Linked DNA regions of Tribolium castaneum. The protein of the gene in region 1 interacts with the protein of each later gene in a pairwise test. Links are inferred from orthologs where the notes say so. Each region holds a gene or a part of one and is shown on either strand. Other genes may lie near its edges. The genes, in order: Smurf and fu.

Region 1 (9,475 bases):
GTCATTAACCACATTGGCAACTCCATAAACGTGGGTCATTACACCGCTTATGTCAGACAGTTGCAAGACTATTGGTACAAATGCGACGATCACGTCATCACAAGAGCCACTCTCAAGGAGGTTCTAGACTCGGAAGGGTAAGGCGAAAAGTTGTGTAAACACCCCGTAATTTTCTACTTCCAGATATTTACTCTTTTACCACAAGCATGTCCTAGATTACGACTAAACGATTTTACCTAATTTAAACATTTTATTTATTTTATTGTGACATCGATTAATTTATCAAGTGCTAAATGTAATAAATTTTACCTCAATAGCCGTTTTTTATTATTATTCCACCCTCCTTAATTGATTTGTTTACTTTGACAAGTGAAATGTGAGGTTAAAAAATGGACGCTTTAACGCTAGGTTCCCAAAGGTAAGAACAAACCCCCCTGACCCACAATTAACCATTTGCCCCAGATTAATCCACTTGGACCTGAAAGGGGCCCCTCCGAAGCTCTGCTACTTCGAAAAAGTATGTTTGTTTGACACAACCTCACTTTTAAACGTCAATTTCAGTTTTTTCCCCTGATTAAAGATTTGGGGGCGACTGGTATTTTGCTAGAATGGGAGGATACGTTCCCGTATACGCGCGAGTTGCTGCCGATTGGGGGGCTGTCGAACAGCGCACAGGTCAGTGGGGCCCCGTACACCATAGAAGAGGCGAGACAGTTGCTTGATATGGGTAGGTTTGTCACAGTTTTGTGCTTCTCTGACCTGGGGACTAGCCGCAGATTGCGACTTGACCGTCATCCCGTTGGTTCAAATTTTCGGCCACATGGAGTACGTCCTAAAGCACGAGCAGTGGCGGCACTTGAGGGAAGTTGAGGCCTATCCCAGCTCCATGTGCCCGTGCAATAGCGAGACAATGGCGCTAGTGCGCAGTTTATTGAAGCAAATAATCACGTTTCATAACGGCATTCAATATATTCACATAGGGGCTGATGAAGTAACTTGTAATTATGTTTTTGCCAATTGCTAAATTGTTGGTTGGAGGTGTGGTACATGGGGCTTTGCCCCGCATGTTCCAAGAGGGTGACCACCGGCAAATACGCCAAGCCGGGCCTTTATCTCGATTACGTAACGGCAGTTGCACAATACATCAAAGAAAATTACCCAAATTTAAAAATCATCATTTGGGACGATATGCTCCGATCAGTTGATACGCAAATTTTGCAAGGTATTATTAGTCCAGTCAAAGAAGCCTTTAAATCGAAATGTGGAAAGAAGAAAAATTTATAATTATATTAAAAAAAAGAAAAAAAAAGAAATTTCTAGCTTTTTAAGTTTAGAGACATTTTTATGTAAAACCATTGATTAGTTATATTCAGATAATCGAATCCATGGCCTCCTTGATGTATGGAGGCAACTTCGTTGTTGTCTCCATACATCAAGGAGGCCATGATCCAATCAATAAGTTAATCAATCATGATTTGCAATTTTTATTTAAAATTTTATATAAATAATATTTTTTAACTTATATATTTTAAAAATGCAAGCTTTTCCACATTTCGATTTGAAGGCTTATTTGACTGGACTGATTATTATGCCGTTTTGTGGGCATTTTTACGTAAAAACAGCCTATTATTTGGGGACTTTGGTCGAGCCGATGATTTGGCACTACAATTCGGCCGAAACGTTCAATTTGGGCGCCCCTTTGTGGGAGAAGTACAGTAACGTATTCACAAATATTTGGGCCGCGTCCGCATTCAAGGGCGCCACTTCCAGCTGTCAGATCCTTCCAATCAATAAATTCCACGTGAGCAATCACGAAGCCTGGCTTTCTGAGCTGGGACAACACGCCGGAAAAATTTTGAATTTTAAAGGAATCGCTTTTACCGGCTGGTCACGCTACGACCATTACGCGACTCTATGCGAGTTGTTACCGACAGCAGTGCCATCTTTGAGTCTTTGTCTTAAGACGTGGCTTAATGGGGGCTATAATCAGGAGTTGCACAAGTATTTTTCCCAAAAAAAAATTTGGAAGTTTGTTTGAGTTGTGTGTTTTAGTTCGGTTGGGAAAATGCTGGGTTATAACGAAAACACTCCGAATTTCGGGAGTTCTCTAAGGACGCCAGTGTTGCCAACTTTGAGTTTTCCAGGATGGCAGGTGTTCGTGGGGCTTGAGTGGTTTGTTAACCTGCGCGGCAAGTACAGGAATATTGTGGACAGCGACCAGTAAGTAATTAAATTTGGCGCGTTCGGGGCGTTTGCTGATTGGTTGGCTTGAAGGATGCACTCGTGGTTTAACCAATGGCAGGTCTTGAACAACTACACCAATCCGATGCAAGTTGACACCATCCTGCCGGTTATAACCGAGTAATAGCTTCGGTTTTTGTTGTTACAAAAGATAATACTTTTTTTTCAGCTTGTTGAACGAACTTATGTCACTCGAAACGTACCTGAAGACGCACCTTGAGCCGATTTTTTACCAACACACCATTGAGGAATTGATGGGCACGCTGGTCGACCCAATCAAGAAGCACTTGAAACAAGTGAAGAGCGACTGCGAGACGCAATTGTCTTTGGGGTGCCGCGTCCGCGGCCAGAGACGATTGAATATTTAAATTCCCACTAATTGTGATACTTAGATAAGCTCTATTTTTCTGTATGTTGTAAGCACTTGCTTCGAAATAAAGTTTTTATATTTTTGTCCGCCTTTTTATTTCAATCAAGTCATTACGAGTCACTCAAATTAAAAGTGTCAGAATGTCTCGTTAATTAGGCGAATGCCTAAGTCAATATTTTTGTTGGTTTACACGCAAAACAAGCGACATGAATGATGACGTACAAAGTGAATTGTTAGATAATGAGTTTCGTCAAATTCTCCTCGCCATCAAGCCCCACATCAACCACATCGACAACCATTACCACCTAGAACGGTACAGGGTGTGGCTGGAGCGCTTAAGCAACGCCCATTGCACCGAACGGGCGGAGCGCAACAAGTACCTACTCGAGCTGGCCAATCAGATCCACGACAACGTGCTAGAACCGCCCTTCACGTACAACCCGCCCCGTGGGCTCCTCCCACGAATAAAAACCTTCCAGCGCTTGCAAATCGACCCAGCGCAAATTTCCGACAAGTTTTTCCAAAACGACCAAAACCAATGGCCCTTTATTGTCGCATCACAATCTAACCGCAACTTAAATAAAAATAAAAACAACACCTGGCCGCAAAAAAAGAACAAACCGATCAAAACGAAATTAATGCGGCCGTTCCAAAAACTGGGGTCCGTGGGACAAGGGGAGGAAAAACAGTCAGAAACGAGCGGCTCATGGTACGATTTGGCCGAAACCACGTCCGAAACGCACGCATGTGGCGACAAAGACCAGGAGGACGATGGGAATAACAAATTAGGGACGCAACACTTGATGGAAGGCTTGAAAACCAAAGAAGAGTTTGCCAAAAAATACGAGCAAGAGAAATGTAAAGGGGGTGGTAGTTTCAATTCTGAGAAATTTCTAGCTGAGGAAAGCTCTAACCGCAAGCCCACGGCCCAGGAACTAGAAGCGCTTAAGATGAGAATGAAGGTGTCAAAAAAAAGGTCAATTATGTGATTTTATTTGGGTTTAAACCAATTTCAGGATTTGCTTGAGGTCAAGAACGCGCTCAGAGACACGCACTGTCTGACGCAAGACAGGAAAAAGACACTCGAGACGCTCCAAGTGAAATTATCGGAGGCGGAGCGAGAAAAGGCGGAGCTACAGGTGATACTAGACTCGCAGAAAAAAAAGTTTGTGGAGTTGGACAAAATCAAGAGTAAAGTGGGGGCCAACAAAACCAAATAAACAAGTGGCGTTATTGCGTTTTTTGCAGGAAATGAACGAATTCAAGGAAAAGTTTGCCCACTTGAGGCAGAAAGAGGTCGACTATTTGAAAAAGTACCACAAGGACGAAGTGGCAAGTTTGGAAAAGTCGTACAGTTGCAAAATTAGGGAATTGGAGGCGAGGATTGATAGTTTGAGGGAGGAGTACGAGGCGAAAATTAAAACTCTGAGTGATTCAAACATGAGTTTATTACAAGAGAAGGAGCAAAGAATACACGAGTGGGTGTAAAGTAACACACTAATTTTTTATTGTAGTTTTTTCTAGACTTCAGAGCGAGTTGAAGATTAGGGAGAGCCAACAAACGAACCAGGCAAATTCTGAGCAAATTTTAAACCTGAAAAAGTGTCTCTCGAGACTGGACAAAGTCCTGCACCGGAACGAAAAAGACTACTCGAAGAAAATCGAAAAGTTGAAGGAAGAGCTTGACTTGAAGGAAGTGACAAGTCAGGTGCAACTCCAGGCCCAGAAGGCCGATCTAATCGTGCGAACCTCGGCCGCAAAACAGGAAGAACTGAGAAACGCGCTAAACAGCCTCGAAAGCAAGTACAAGAAAATGGTCGAGACGGTCCAGACGGCAGCTTTGGAGGCGAAAAAACGGGACGAGAAAATGATCGACGAGCTAAGGGGGCTGCTGCAGAAGCACAACATCCAGATTGCGTACACTGTGTAATTGTCTGAATAAATTGATTTCAAGTGTTTGCTGCGAATCCACGAAAAACCCACACAGGAAAAAACGCACTGAGAAAAAAATCTCATGTTGAAACCACCTGACAGAACACGGGACGATTTTTTTGAGTTCTTTTGTATGTTTTTTTGGAAAGTGAGTATTTTCCTGTGTGAGTTTTTTTCCACGTGGCCTTTTTTGTGGCCTTTTTTCTGTGGGAAAAAAATATTCGTATTCGGCGCCCATTTTGGTAGATGTCGCTCGCGTCGCCCCGTTCGAAAATGGCGTTGTGTGTGAAAAGTGAGTGATGTGTTGACAAAAACCAGCAATTTGAAAATGTCCAACGCCCCCACGAGTCGTCGAAATGGTGCCCAAAAAATCCGACTGACGAGTGAGTAAAAACCGTGCCCTTTTCCCAGTTTTAGCGTCCCCAAGAACCGCATTGTCCAACTGTCAAACAATATGGCCTCATTGGGGACCTCCCAAGTTTACAAAATTGTGATGTAACCGCTCTTTTTTGCAGTTCTTTGTGCGAGGAATTTGGTCCGGAAGGATTTGTTCCGTAAGTTGGTGCAAGGGTGTGCCCGGGCGCGGGTTTTTTGACGGTTTTTTTCGCAGGCCTTCCCGACCCTTTTGCGAAGATTTCGGTGGACGGTAGTGGACAGTGCCACTCCACCGAGTTCGTTAAAAACACGTTGGAGCCCAAGTGGAACTCGCACTACGACCTGTACATCGGGCGCAATGATTCCATCACGATCTCGGTGTGGAACCACCGCAAAGTCATCAAGAAGCAGGGCAGCGGGTTCCTGGGCTGCGTCCGGATTGTTAATTCGCACATCCAGAGGCTGAGGGACACCGGATGTGAGTACCCGAGTGATAAGACGGAGTTTTCGAATTTCGTTCAATTATCTTGAGTGTGCACTCATTGTAGTTTTCTTCAACATCTGTTGTCACAACCCATTAAAGATAATTCCAGCCGGCGATTCTAAATTAAAATTTAATTGGGAAAGTATTGTCGACGCCGCATTGGCTTAATTATTGCTATTATTCCCAACAAAGCCGAACTTTTCTCCCGACTCAAGGTAAAACTGCGATTTAAATTATTAATAAAACGTGCATCGATTCGGTCGAGGTAAAACCTAGTTTCGTCGCAAAATCGATTGGAAAAAATCGACGTGTGGTTAGCGGGCCGTAACGACTCGATTTCCAACCAATGTCACACCGGAAAACCGTTTTAATAAAAATAAATTACTTTCGATTCGATGCGTGGCATTTAAATAACGGTTTCCGCAACCATTGTAGAAAAAATCATTTTTTTAAGACGGTTTTGTGTGACTTAAATGTGATGAATAATGTTTTATTTATTACACTGTTCGAAGTATGAAACTCGGGTTCTTGTCATCAACAGGAAGCGTGTAAATCGAGCCAATCAATCAATTTGAAATCCATATTAAGGCTGTGACGGTTTGTCGATATATGGGGTGGCCAATAAGTCATTAAAACAATTGGAAAGGTTAAGGATTAAGTGCGGAATATTGATTTTTTTATTAAGATTATTTGAAGCTTGCATTGTTAAAAAACATTTGATAAGCGAATTCTCGCTAAATTGTCGGCGGTTTGCGTTTCGTGTAATAATATCATTATCATACGTATTTCTACAAGCTTTGTCATCGTTGCATCGTAGTATCTATGTTATAATTTATCACACGCGACAGATGACATTTTCGATAAAGTTGTTTGCAAATCTGTTACTTTATTTAGGCCAAATTGTATTTTTAGAAGTAACAAATGTTGTTCATTTAAATAGTTAAATAATCAACAACAGGTGGCTTAATATTAGCTACAAGCTGCGATTTGAACGCGTCTCAAAATTTTTTGTAAAGTAATTAGGTTTAACCGTAAAGTATGCGCTTGTATTAGGAAGTTTAAGACAAATTAAGGTCGTCAGTAAACCGATTTTTTTAATTTTTAATTGATTTTTTTTCAAATGCAGCGTTTCAACTTTTAATTAGCCTGTGGCCTAGGTTTTTTTGCAAACATTTCATGGACCAATCGGGTTAAAAAATCAATTATTGTGTTTGAAATTAATTTGGATTTTTAAAAATTAATAATCAGTCAGTTTATGGATGTATGAATTATTTGTCATTTATATTAATGTTTTTATTGTTATTATGTTTGTTTATATTACATATTCTTTTTTTTAACTTTTTGGTTTGTTTTGGCTGAAATTACGCAAGTACATGACAAACAAATAATTAAACAAGAAACCTCTTTTGATGTCATAATTGTGCATTCGCATATTTTTTTATGTTCTTTTATTTTTTTAATTCAGGTGTGTGTAGATTTCGTTTACTTTTTTTTAATTCGTGTTTTGTTTTGGCTCGTAAATGGTGTACAGTCACCCAAAATGAAAATGACGCGTCCATAAAAGACACGCCTACTCATTTATTTTACAAGATTTGATCAAAAAACGTCTAAAATCCGCAAAATAAGTCTAAATTGGGGGTGTTTTTAGAAACCGGTTTCAAAATCATAAAAATAAAATAAATCTGATGTAACTTTTGTTCCAACTCGTTGGTTTTTGGGTAAAATTTCGTCAAGTATAGACTGAAAAATGATAAAATTTGGTCAAAAAATGAGTTATTCTTACTTTTTTAAAGCCTTTAAACACGTTTTTTATTTTATTGCCAAAATAAACCGAGCCGAAAAAACACAAAAACTGAAATTTAATGAAAAAATATTTTTCAATTTTTGATTTCTTTTATGCAAAAACATTATTACAGAAAAATTGTCAAAAATAAGGTAGACAATTGTTGAAAAATTTAATTAATCCTCAATTTTGTTCATTAATTTTGAATGGAATCTTAAGCAAAATGTCTTATTTAGCGATTTTTCAGCTTGTCTAGAAGGTATTTTTTGAAGGGAAGGCATTTATAATATGACAAATAATAATAAAATAATAAACGTCTGTAAATAATTGTGTTTTTTTATGTTTCTTTACCCTTTTAATTCAGGTGTTAATTACGTTTACTTTTTTATTTGTTATAATTGAGATTTTGGCTTGAAAACGACGCAATTTATTGGTATTATTTAGCGATTTTTCGTCTTGTCTCGAAGGCAATACAAATCAGAATTGATTTTGTTGCACGCCACCGGTTAATAAAGCATTGTTATGCATACTTTTATCTCTTGTTACGTCGTTTAAACTGTCAATATTATCAACACAAACAAGCAGAAGGAATTTTTCAGTAAAAAAATAATCACAACGACATACACTGTATCTCCGCCGTTTATAAAAATATGTTAATAATTTAAAAGATCGCAGTTTTGCGTGTCGTTTTCATGAATCATAATGAAACATTAATCCCACAATCTTAGCACGTGTATGTGTGTGTCACAAAATTATGTAACACACGGAAATCGATCTGATCCATTTCCGTTTCTAGTATCTTCTATTTTTAAAAAGCGAATTTTTCGCAGCATTTCCGTTCACTTTCACAGTACCGTAACCGTTATTTCTATTACTCAACCATATGTCGCATCATGTGTGCAGTACCGTAACGATTTTAATTTCCAGACCAATGTTTGGATCTGGGAAAAGCATGTCCGGCCGACAGCGAACCGGTCAAAGGTCAAATCATCATTTCGTTATTATCACGCGATGGCCCTTGTAGTGGTACACCTTTGGCCGTTGTTGGCCCCCAAGGCGAGTTACGGGGGCCAACTGATCGCGATTCTTCGCCCTCAAATAACGACGATTTACCGCCCGGCTGGGAGGAACGCCGAACGGAAAACGGAAGGCCCTACTACGTTAATCACATCACCAGGTCCACACAGTGGATTAAACCACAATCGACCAACAAAACAAGAAGACGCTCCACGCATCAAAACGATAATAATAACACTAATAACGAAAATACGATAGGGGGCACACAGGTATTGTAGTTATTTTTTTCGCGGTGTTTTTTAATTAATAAAGACAGATGGGTGTACAGGAAATTCTGAATAATAACACGGGGGAGACCCTCACCCCTAGTTCGAGTACATCGCCGGTTTCGCCAGTGGTCAGTCCACAAAAAACCACATCAACGCCTCAAACGACCGACAATCGAAACAATTTTATTACGCTATCGCCGACTTCGACGTCTGTTATTCCAGCGCCTAATAATATCAGTTGTAACGCACCGAATGGCGAAAATACGAACGTTGTGAGCCCACAAATGGGGCAAGGGCAAGGCCAAAGGGCTATCGTGCGCAGCGAAAGGCGGCAAAGGAGTGCAGAGGAGCGAAGGGATGGGAGCAGCAGGAGGAGGTCAGGGAGGAATAACAGGAATTCGGGAGGGACGACAGCCCAAGGGCCGGTTACACAGAACAGCAAGCTGGATTTGCCTCCCGGTTACGGTAACAACAACAGTAAAATTATTTCGTATTTTTCGTAATTTATTATTTTTTGGCAGAGTTGAGGACAACTCAGCAGGGACAGGTCTATTTCTACCACATCCCTACCGGCGTATCGACATGGCACGACCCCCGAATACCCAAAGACTTGGCCCCCTTGAGCCTGGCTTTGGACCATTTGGGCCCCCTTCCGCCTGGTTGGGAAATGCGCCAAACAGCCTCAGGCCGGGTACAACCCCAAATAAATAAATAAACAACAATTATATCATTCATTTCCACAGATTTATTTCGTTGATCACAACAACAGGACGACTCAATTCACCGACCCTCGCCTCAACACTCAAATACTCAACAATATTTTACGTCGGGCTAGCGCCACCTCAACCACGACGCCAACAACTAGAACTACCCCAACTACGACAACAGCAAGTACAACATCGCCTTCAACGTCAACAACAACCGTTACGACAACAACGACAACGACAGCAGTGCCTCAAAATCCGGCACCACTTTCACCGCCGCCTCGCACTCGGATTGTGGAG
Region 2 (9,475 bases), on another chromosome or scaffold:
AATTGTTAAGTTTAAACATATAGGTACTATGTGGTCATTTGAGTTTATATTTATCCTATCTTTTATTAGTTTTTTAATTTGTGTGCTGCTTATTGTCATAATTAACCAAGCTGAAGAGTCAAATAATAAAGTTTTGAATAATAATATTTAATTATAATGCATTTTTTTACCTCAGTTTGCTCTAGTTTATCAATCACAAAGAATAGAAACCGCCTACTCTAATTACACTGGTCTGCAAAAAATCTTTTTTTTTCTCCATTGTGGTATGTGTAACATTATAAATTAGTGCTCCTGAATCGAAATTTAATAACAAAAATTCTGCATCACATATACTTTTTTTGTAATATGTATTTTTCTTTCTCAAAATTTGGTGCTCTTCAAAAAAACTAATAGCTAATTTAGTTTACAATTTCAATGAGAGACCTAATTATTAATAATAATTTTACAATGTTTTAAAAAAAATAATTCGGTAAAATGCGACGTTGGCGTTTTTATAATTTTGAAACAAATAATAGGTATATTTTGTATACAGGCTAATCCAGAGTACTTTTATTATACACAGGGTGGTGAATTAAAGTTATATTTTTATATGGAACAGCCTGTATATTTTTGCATAATTAGATTCTATGCAAAAAATAACGTTACTTTATATAAACTATTATGGGTCGATCTCTTTTAGTTTCTAAATTATTAAACTTTTTTTTTATAAAAAGACCAATTTTTGAAAAAGCCACCTATGAATATTTTCCGGTAAATTTGCAACAGAAAAATTCAGAATACCTTGTCGTTTTAGGAAATAACTTGAAACACGGAAATAATGTACAGGGTGTGCCAAAACGCAAAAGTTGAATAACTCATGTTTTTTAAACTACTTAAAGTGTTTAAAAAAATAAAAAAAATTATTTATTTTAGTGATAATTCTTGATGAGTGAAATTCATTAATGTATCAAGTAATAATTAGATAACTAATGTAATTAGTCACAGTAGAACATACCAAAAAATTAATTACCATTTGACTATCAGATTCTATAGGTTAACAATTTATTTTATAAAAAAATAATTTTTTTGGAAAATTTTGAAAAACAATTTAAATTTTCTTTGCAAACCTGATATCATTTGAAAGCTTATCAAAAATGCTATCGATACATAGAAAAATCATGGTGTTCCATTTGAAAAAAAAAATGAGTTATTCAACTTTTTGCGTTTTGACACAGCCTGTATATTAACTAAAAGTCGACTATTTGCTAAAAGTACAAGGTATTCTAAGTTCTTCTGTTGCAAATTTATTGGAAAATACTCATAAGCGACTTCGCAGTGATTTTTCACTTTTTTATAACGAAAAGTTGAATAATTACGAAACGAAAAGAGTTATAGACCTATAATAGTTTACATAAAGTTACATTATTTTTTTGCGTAAAATTTAATTAAACCTTGAAATAATTAGAAATTTGTTTTTTCGTCACATTGCTATGAAATGAATAAAATTAACATTTAACTCTATCTCCCTATCATAACAGCGGTTTTAGATACCTAACAACCTTCAAAAATGAATATTAAAAAAAATGGAACAAGATAATTTAGTACCAGGCAAAACGTTTTTAATTATGTGACGGTTTTTACACATTTGTAAGGCTTAATATTGGCCTTATAACATTAATAACAAGAACTTAAAGGCAAAATATTTATACATGTGTCTCAGAATGGTAAAGAAATGATCCAACGGTAATTTGGCGTAATTTTAAATAAAAGAAATGTGTTTTAAAATTCCATTTTTTAACTTGAGGGCATTTAATTGAAAGACCACCTCCTAAAATATGTGCATTCTAAATTTCATAACAATCCGTTGACAAATAACTGAGATATTAAGCTCGAAAGTCTTAGCTGAGACACCCTGTATAGTATTAATATCAGCTTTTCATACGAATTTTTAGGAACACTCTTGACCATGTTTATATTTAGACACTTTTCAACTTACTTGAATAATGTTTGTATCCTGGAGTATGGAAGACAAGTCAGCCCCCCTGAAATTTATCACAAAAACGCACACGAGACAATCTCTAGCTATATAAATTGGAGAAGTAAAAGTAGACAATGTCAGTTTTTCGAATCTTGAGAGTGCAACTTTGAATTAATAGTTTTACGTTTTTTTTGAGGTTTATTGGAGAAATAAGTGAGGTTAGAGTGCCTCTAAACCATAGAGTAATAAAAATGTGGAGCGGGATTTGGGGCAAAGTCAGTTTTTCGAATCTTGAGAGTTTGTAACTATGAATTAATTGTTTTATGTTTGTTTGATTATGTTACGAATGCCCCGAATTTCGTATAATAATAAGTTTTTGGGCAATAATAATAATAATATGCCAAAAATAAGAATTGCTTAATTATTAATAATTATATATCCTCTTACAAATTCACATTTTGCATTATGTACTGTAAGTTTATATATAACTGTCACTCCATTTATATCATACAAAAAAAGTAAAATTAATAGTATATTAGGATACGAGTTTTATAAGACGCATTTTGTCGCACGCACAAATTTAGCGCACGACGAGCGCAGCGAGGAGTGCCATAATAGAGTAAGTGCGACAAAATTCCTTATAAACGAGATATCATACAGTATTTTTTCTACTGCGCACTTTTTGTACCAAAAAAATTAATTTCGAAATTTAGGGAATTAAAAAAAGATTAGAAAACGGTTTTCTTCAAATGGAATGACCATGTTTTTTCAATGGTAGTCAAAAGAACATCAATTTTTATGCAGACTTTTATTAACATCTTCTATATCTATCTCTTACAGTTAAAAACTGAATTTTAGCTCATTATTTTCATTTTTAATCAAGTAAACTTTCGATATGAAAAAATTGTGCTATTAATTAAAAAAAATGTTCGATTTGTTTACCATTTTCATTCAGGAAGTTCAAAATGCCATGCCAGACTGATTGAGTTACCTTACATAATTCACTAAGTTATAATAAACCATAATTAAATGTTAATAGTTTTACTGCTTGTTCGATAATAAACCAGCAAAAAACTAAAAAAAATATTGAAGTTTAACATTATTGTTGACCATTTTGCAAGGTCTACTTGATTAACTATCAAAATTATGAAGTAAAATCTCTTTTTTGTGATTTTGTTCAAAAACAGTAAGAGATAGGAAAGAAAAATTGATAGAGAAAATAAGAAAATAATAAATAACTAATAAAGACCAATAAAGAATAATGAAAGAATAAAAAATTGAAAAAAATGTGGCCGCAGAAGACAGTATTGAAAATAGAAAGAAAGGAAGATAAAAAACTATTAAAAAATAGAAAAATATTATACTCCATTAGATATTACGATACGCAAATCGCGTATCGTAATGACCTCAGTAGTTACACAACTTTTGACTCACTTGATTATATCCTTGAGTATGGAAGACAAGGCAGCCCCCTCGAAATTTATCATAAAAACAGTTGCGGGACAATTTCTAGATAAACAGGAGAAGCAAATGTCGTCAAAGTCGATTTTATAAATCTTGAAAGTTTTTTTTGTAATATTACCGCCATCGTTTTGTTTACATTTATTTAGAGGTTAGATTTTCTGCACGAAGTCATTTTCATTTAACACGACATGATTGTAACAATTTATTATAAAACTGGTCGTTTTAACGTAAAAATACACATAAAAATCAAGCTCTTGTCACTCTAGGTCCACTCATCATTTTTTCTCTAATAGCCCACCTCAAGTCGGTTCTGTTGTCTTCACCTGGAATTTTTTGTCGCTTCCAACACTTTTGATATTGGTGGTAGAGTGCGACAGGGTCACTCTTATTAATATTTGTTTGAATTCCCGGTCTTATGACTACAAGCTTAAACGTAAAAAAACTTACAAACACTTTAAAATACTTACAGGAACTTTTAGGTTTGCTAGAATTAATCATTTTTTTCCAAGGCACATCTTTAACGGGCACAAAGTCAAGCGTGTCTTCTTGACCCTTTTCAGGGGCTGTTTGTGCCTCCAACGTGTTTTCGTGACAATGGTGTTGTGGTCCTTTACTTGTCTTGATTTTTAACGAAATTACACTTTCTTTCTTTGAAACTGTTTTGGCTCTTGAAGAGTGAGTCCCTTGTGAATGTAAAACTAGAAACACATCATCTTTATTTTTTTCGTTTTCGTTCGGCACATCTGTTTCATTTCCAAGGCTTTGTTTGCTTCTCTTGCGTTCTTCATACTTTATCAATTTTTTCAAGTCTGAAAACCAAACTTTTGTTCAATTAAAGTAACAAAAAATGACTCACCAACCGTAAACAAATTCTTTCAATTGTTGTGGGTTAATGTTGTGATAACCCAAGTCATTTAAATACGCTAATACTTCCCTAGGGCTTATTTTTGTGGTCATTTTTAAGAAAAAAAATAAGAAAACGTTGAAACAAAACCTTAAATTTCTAGGCAACATACGAAAATCAAATTCCCTAAAAGTGGGGACATAAAATAAGTGTTACAAAACCTCGCAGTTGGTTAATTTCACAATAACGTTGATTTTATTAAACACTGCTAATCACAAAATCATTTTTATCAACAAAATTGGTATTTCTTTGCAAAAAATTGCTTTCCACCCAGTCAGTTACTTTCACGAGGGTTGGTGTCCCTGCCTGTCAGCGTGACAAACATCTGATTGTCAAAAAAATGTCACGCGGAAGTGTAAGTAAACAAAAACAATCCTCTCCAAGTGTAAAAAATGATATGGACAAGTATGAAGTTATTAAATTATTGGGCGAAGGATCGTTTGGACGAGTTTACAAAGCGAAAGTAATCGCAGATTCATCTTTTGTTGCCTTAAAAGTTATCTGTAAAGTGAGTTAAAAACTGAGGCTCGAACTCGTTCAAATTTATTTCATTTAGGGTCGAAGATCGAACAAGGAAATAATTGGTCTACGAAGGGAATGTGAAATTCAAAGACATTTGCATCATCCCAATATTATACAAATGCTTGATTCGTTTGAAACTCCAAATGAGGTGAGACAATTTTTCCCAAGTTCTTTTCGTTTTTTAAACAGATTTTCAATGTACCGTACAAATGTTAGGCAACCAACACCAAATCTGGTGATTTTCGTGTTAATTTGGTGAAAACTGTATAAACATTTTGTTTAGTGATTTTAGAAAAATGCTTTTTATACAAACAATCACATTTACAAAAATTTTGATTCACTGTTCAACGTCTGTTGTTATTTTTATTTAAGTATGATTTAACAAATTAAATGGGATAGTAGAGACAAGATGGAGTTTATTTTTTTTTTAATAAATAAAAAACCAATGTAAATTAGTCTGCTATCCCAGTAATGATTTAAATCATACTTAAATTTACAAAAATTGTAAAAAGTTGTGGTGACACCAGAAATCTAACAGTATTCCTCCAACATATGTTAAATTATTTTTATGTTTAATTATTTGTAGAATTTGTGTTCGCAATGAAATTACATTTTTTCATGTTATTTTTTATTATTTTTTCAGTTTTCTTTTATTTTCGTATCGTTTAACTGCTTGTCTCATAATTTTTTCTTTCTATCTTCGTTTAATTTTGTGTGTTTTCTTTTATGCCTTTTTTGCATTTTTTTATTTTGTTTTTTTTTAATTTTGTGGGTTTATTTCTCCTGCGACATTATTCTATTCGTTGCTTTAGCATTTCTTTTTCATATTACCATTGCTTTACTTTTTGTTTTTTTTTACCTTTTGCTATATTTCTTTCATATTATATTGTCTTCAGTTTATGGCTTCGTCTTTTGTAGTTTGTCGTTTGTGGTTTATTCTGTTCTTTTTTTTCTATTCTACCGAGTGCTCAAAAACCGACGCACCAACTTATTGGAATATGGTAGAGAATTGCTTACATATAACGGTAAAATTAGTAAAAAAATTCTTTGTATTAAAATTATTGATAAATAATTATATTAATTATATTATATATAATATATATATATATATATATTATAAATATATATATATATTATAAAAAATATATATAATTATAAATATTAATTATATTTAATTAGATGATATGTGGCAACGTTGTCTAACAGTGATGATCGCAATAGAACTTAATCAACAATAAAAATAAATTATTTTTGAAACGGTTTCCTAAGTAATAATTCCCAATGTTGACACATCTACAAATTGTGATTTTTTTGACGAATTTTATTTTTTTTAATTAAAAAATCTGCTAAAGTCTGATAGGAAATTTAAAAATAATTATTCATTGTTGTGTTAGGGAACGATTACTTAGTGTGAAACATAAAACTATTAAAAAATAATGAAAACTGAAGAAGTTTACAAAATAAGTTTGTAGCTCCATATTTTTTAAAATATGACATTAGGAATTTTTTCAAGATTTTTTCCGTGATCTACACATGCTTCTCAACAGCGTACCACTGAGTTGGTGCGCCAGTTTTTGAGCATCCTGTATAGTTCTATACAGTTTTATTCTATTCTATATAGTTTTTTCTTAATCATCCTTTTTTTACATTTTCAATAATGTTTTTTGAGGCCATCTTTTCCAATTTTTTATTTTTTTATTTAAAATTTAGATTTTTTGTCTTTATTGGTTATTCTTTATTTTCTTATTTTCTCTTTCAAGTAATTTCGTAAAACAATTTTTATTTCCTTGTACTGTTTTTTCCTTATTATTTTTGCCTATTATCTATTAATGATCTTGTTGCTAAATTAAATTGTTGTAATCAGTTGATCAGACGATCTAAAAATTTTTGTTTGAAACACCAAATAAAGAGAGACAATTTTTCCTTATATTTTACTAAGTTCTTTTCGTTTTTTAAACAAAGATTTTCAATATAGTGTATAAATGTTAGGCAACCAACACCAAATCTTGTGATTTTCGTGTTAATTTGATGAAAACTGTGCAAAAATTTTGTTTGGTGATTTTAGAAAAATGCTTTTTATACCAACAATCACATTTACAAAAAATTGTATTCACTGTTCAACGTCTGTTGTTATTTTTATTTAAGTATGATTTAATAAATTAAATGGGATAGCAGAGACAAGATGCAGTTAATTTTTTTATATAAATAAAAAATCAAAGTAAATTGCTCCTTGTCGGCTATTCTAGTAGTGAATCAAATTATCCTTAAATTTACAAAAATTGAAAAATAATGTTTGTGAATTACGCAGGACTGAGTTGTGGTGACACCAGAAATCTAACACAATTTGAAATCAGGAAACCAGTTACAATCTGAGTATTCCCCCAACATATTTAAAATTATTTTTATGTTTAATTATTTGTAGAATTTTTGTTCGCAATGAAGTTATTATTTTTTCAGTTTTCTTCTATTTTCGTATCGTTTGACTGCTTGTCTCACCATTTTTTTCCTTCTGTCTGTTAAGTGAAGGGGGCGCTGCTGTTGAAATTGGCGGGAAATGATGACGCGTGAGGCGCGTACGGGCAACGCCTAGTTAGTTGGAAGGACACTGTGGAAGTGTCAATGTCGTTGTTGAATCTAATTTGCTAATAAATTAGTTTTTGGGTGAATTCCGAGTTTCATTTACAGAGCAGCGGTAGGATATTGCTCAAATAATCGTTTCCGATAGAGAGTGGTGAATTGTGGTGATTTTGTGAGGAATTTGTGGGTCGCCAAGGCAAGGGCCAAAAATTGAAGTTTTGGGAATCTGTACCGTTTCATTCGTAACAAAATTGTGTTTTACTACTTGAAATCGAACAAATCAATCGGGTGCTAGCCGAATTTATCTGATTTTTCTGATTTCTGACGAGTTCTAGGAGTTACGCAACCACACGCTGTCAATTTTCATTTGGGTGTGGCTCAAAAGGCGCGAAAAGTTTTCTGATGAGATTTTCGCAATGGGGCGTCACAGGTACCGAGGAAATGTGGACTCGGACGACTCGGACTCAAGTGACGATGAGCCACGGCCGAAAAGGTCCGCGCCTGGGGTCTCCACTACAGTAAATTCACCCCCAGTTTCGGCCGAGTCCGCTAGAATCGCGAGACTTGAGCAACTTGTGGAAAACTTGAATCGACGTTTGCTAAACCGCAATTTTGAGCACACATCAGGACAAGTTGGCATTAAAAGTGACCTGATTCCTGAATTCGCTCCAGGAAACCCCAATTTTAGTACCACTAAGTGGTTGCATAAAATTGACCAGTTGGCTCTCGTGAACGGTTGGGACGAACGTACAACGATTTACGGCATGATAAGTCGACTCAAGGGGTTGGCCAAGGAGTGGTACGACAATCTCGATCCCTCAGCATACGACCGGAGCTGGGATGAATGGAAACGTTTGTTACAAGCCACCTTCCCCGATCACCACGATTATGCTTCCACACTTCGTAAGCTAGTGAATAGGGTGAAGGAAGATGGTGAAACCTGGGCACAATATTATTTTGGGAAATTAAATCTGTTGCAGGCTTGTGACATAACAGGAACGAATGCAGTCTCCTGTCTTATTGATGGAATCACTGACGTGACTCTCAGAAATGGGGCTAGAGCAGGGCGTTACGTTACACCCGAAAGCTTGTACGCTGAGTATTTGTCGACTCTGAGATCCGAAGGTGACAAGCGGGATACGCTCGCAAAGCAGGCGCCTCGGGAAAGGAGGAGGTTCCTTCCAAGTCGAGTCGAAACACAAAAACTGTATTCGTCAGTTCGGTGTTACAATTGTCGTAATCGAGGACATGTTGCGACAAAGTGCCCGAAACCAAGAATTGAGTGCAAGAAATGTGGTCGCATTGGACATGTGGATGCTGAGTGCCGACGTGGTAACGTAGTAAAAGAAAACATGTCTAAGCAGGCACTAACGACAAGTGTAGCTGACGCAAGTAATAATAAGAATTATTACATAGACATTAAGGTTAATGGTAAGCCGACGCGAGCTTACATTGACTCAGGAGCTGAACCGGTCCTTGTCAAGCAAAGTGTTGCTAGAGAATTGGGACTGATGTGGCAGCCAAGTTTACATTTGATTCGTGGTTATGGCCAGGGAATCACCAAAGTGCATGGGGAAGTCGAAGTAGAGCTAGAAGTGGATCTTGTCAAGGCAAACGTAAAAGCTTTGATCGTCGAAGACAGTGCACAACGTGTGCCTGTCATAGTGGGACAGACCTTCCTGAATGCGGGTGCTAATACGATTATAGCAAATGAGGAAGCTGTGAGAGTAGTTGACGGAAACAACGAATCGATCCAAGCATTTCTAGGCCAACTTCCGACACGAAAAGTTGCACTTTGGGCGGAAGAGGAAACAGTGATCCCTCCTCAATCCATTGGTTGCATACGAATCAAGGCAAAAGACGATGGGTGGAAAGGAGCTTATTACGTTGAAGGGTGTCAACGTCCGAGACCAGGGTTCGAACACGTTGTTCATCGGTGTGTCACATGTGATGGAGGCCTAGTGACCGTTCGCAATCTATCGCACCAAGATCTGGTCTATCGAAAGGCGCAAATCGTTGCGAGAGCTGAGCCTTGCGAGCAGGAAAGGACA

The links.
Region 2: the proteins of Smurf (region 1) and fu interact in binary tests that used the Drosophila melanogaster proteins (3 or more experiments, as listed by UniProt). The link is inferred for Tribolium castaneum from reciprocal best matches to the Drosophila melanogaster genes Smurf and fu.

Annotation. Positions count from the first base shown.
Region 1 is NC_087399.1:1,656,772-1,666,246, reverse strand, and holds the start of Smurf (E3 ubiquitin-protein ligase SMURF2), read left to right. Parts: upstream 1-4,768; 5' UTR 4,769-4,871; coding exon 4,872-4,926; intron 4,927-5,058; coding exon 5,059-5,097; intron 5,098-5,153; coding exon 5,154-5,396; intron 5,397-8,112; coding exon 8,113-8,471; intron 8,472-8,518; coding exon 8,519-8,936; intron 8,937-8,992; coding exon 8,993-9,162; intron 9,163-9,214; coding exon 9,215-9,475. Other genes in the region: not (ubiquitin carboxyl-terminal hydrolase nonstop), read left to right, coding at 1-137, 184-226; hexosaminidase D, read left to right, coding at 390-418, 463-517, 562-727, 771-991, 1,039-1,222, 1,623-2,001, 2,053-2,220, 2,275-2,361 and 1 more; probable DNA double-strand break repair Rad50 ATPase, read left to right, coding at 2,818-3,573, 3,628-3,807, 3,860-4,089, 4,136-4,541. UniProt on the Drosophila melanogaster protein: E3 ubiquitin-protein ligase which accepts ubiquitin from an E2 ubiquitin-conjugating enzyme in the form of a thioester and then directly transfers the ubiquitin to targeted substrates.
Region 2 is NC_087395.1:1,158,880-1,168,354, reverse strand, and holds the start of fu (serine/threonine-protein kinase fused), read left to right. Parts: upstream 1-4,665; coding exon 4,666-4,833; intron 4,834-4,881; coding exon 4,882-4,995; intron 4,996-9,475. Other genes in the region: centriolar and ciliogenesis-associated protein HYLS1, read right to left, coding at 3,668-3,840, 3,889-4,230, 4,282-4,435. UniProt on the Drosophila melanogaster protein: Probable serine/threonine-protein kinase; maternally required for correct patterning in the posterior part of each embryonic metamere. May be involved in control of cell division during metamorphosis and ovarian development. May interact with costal-2.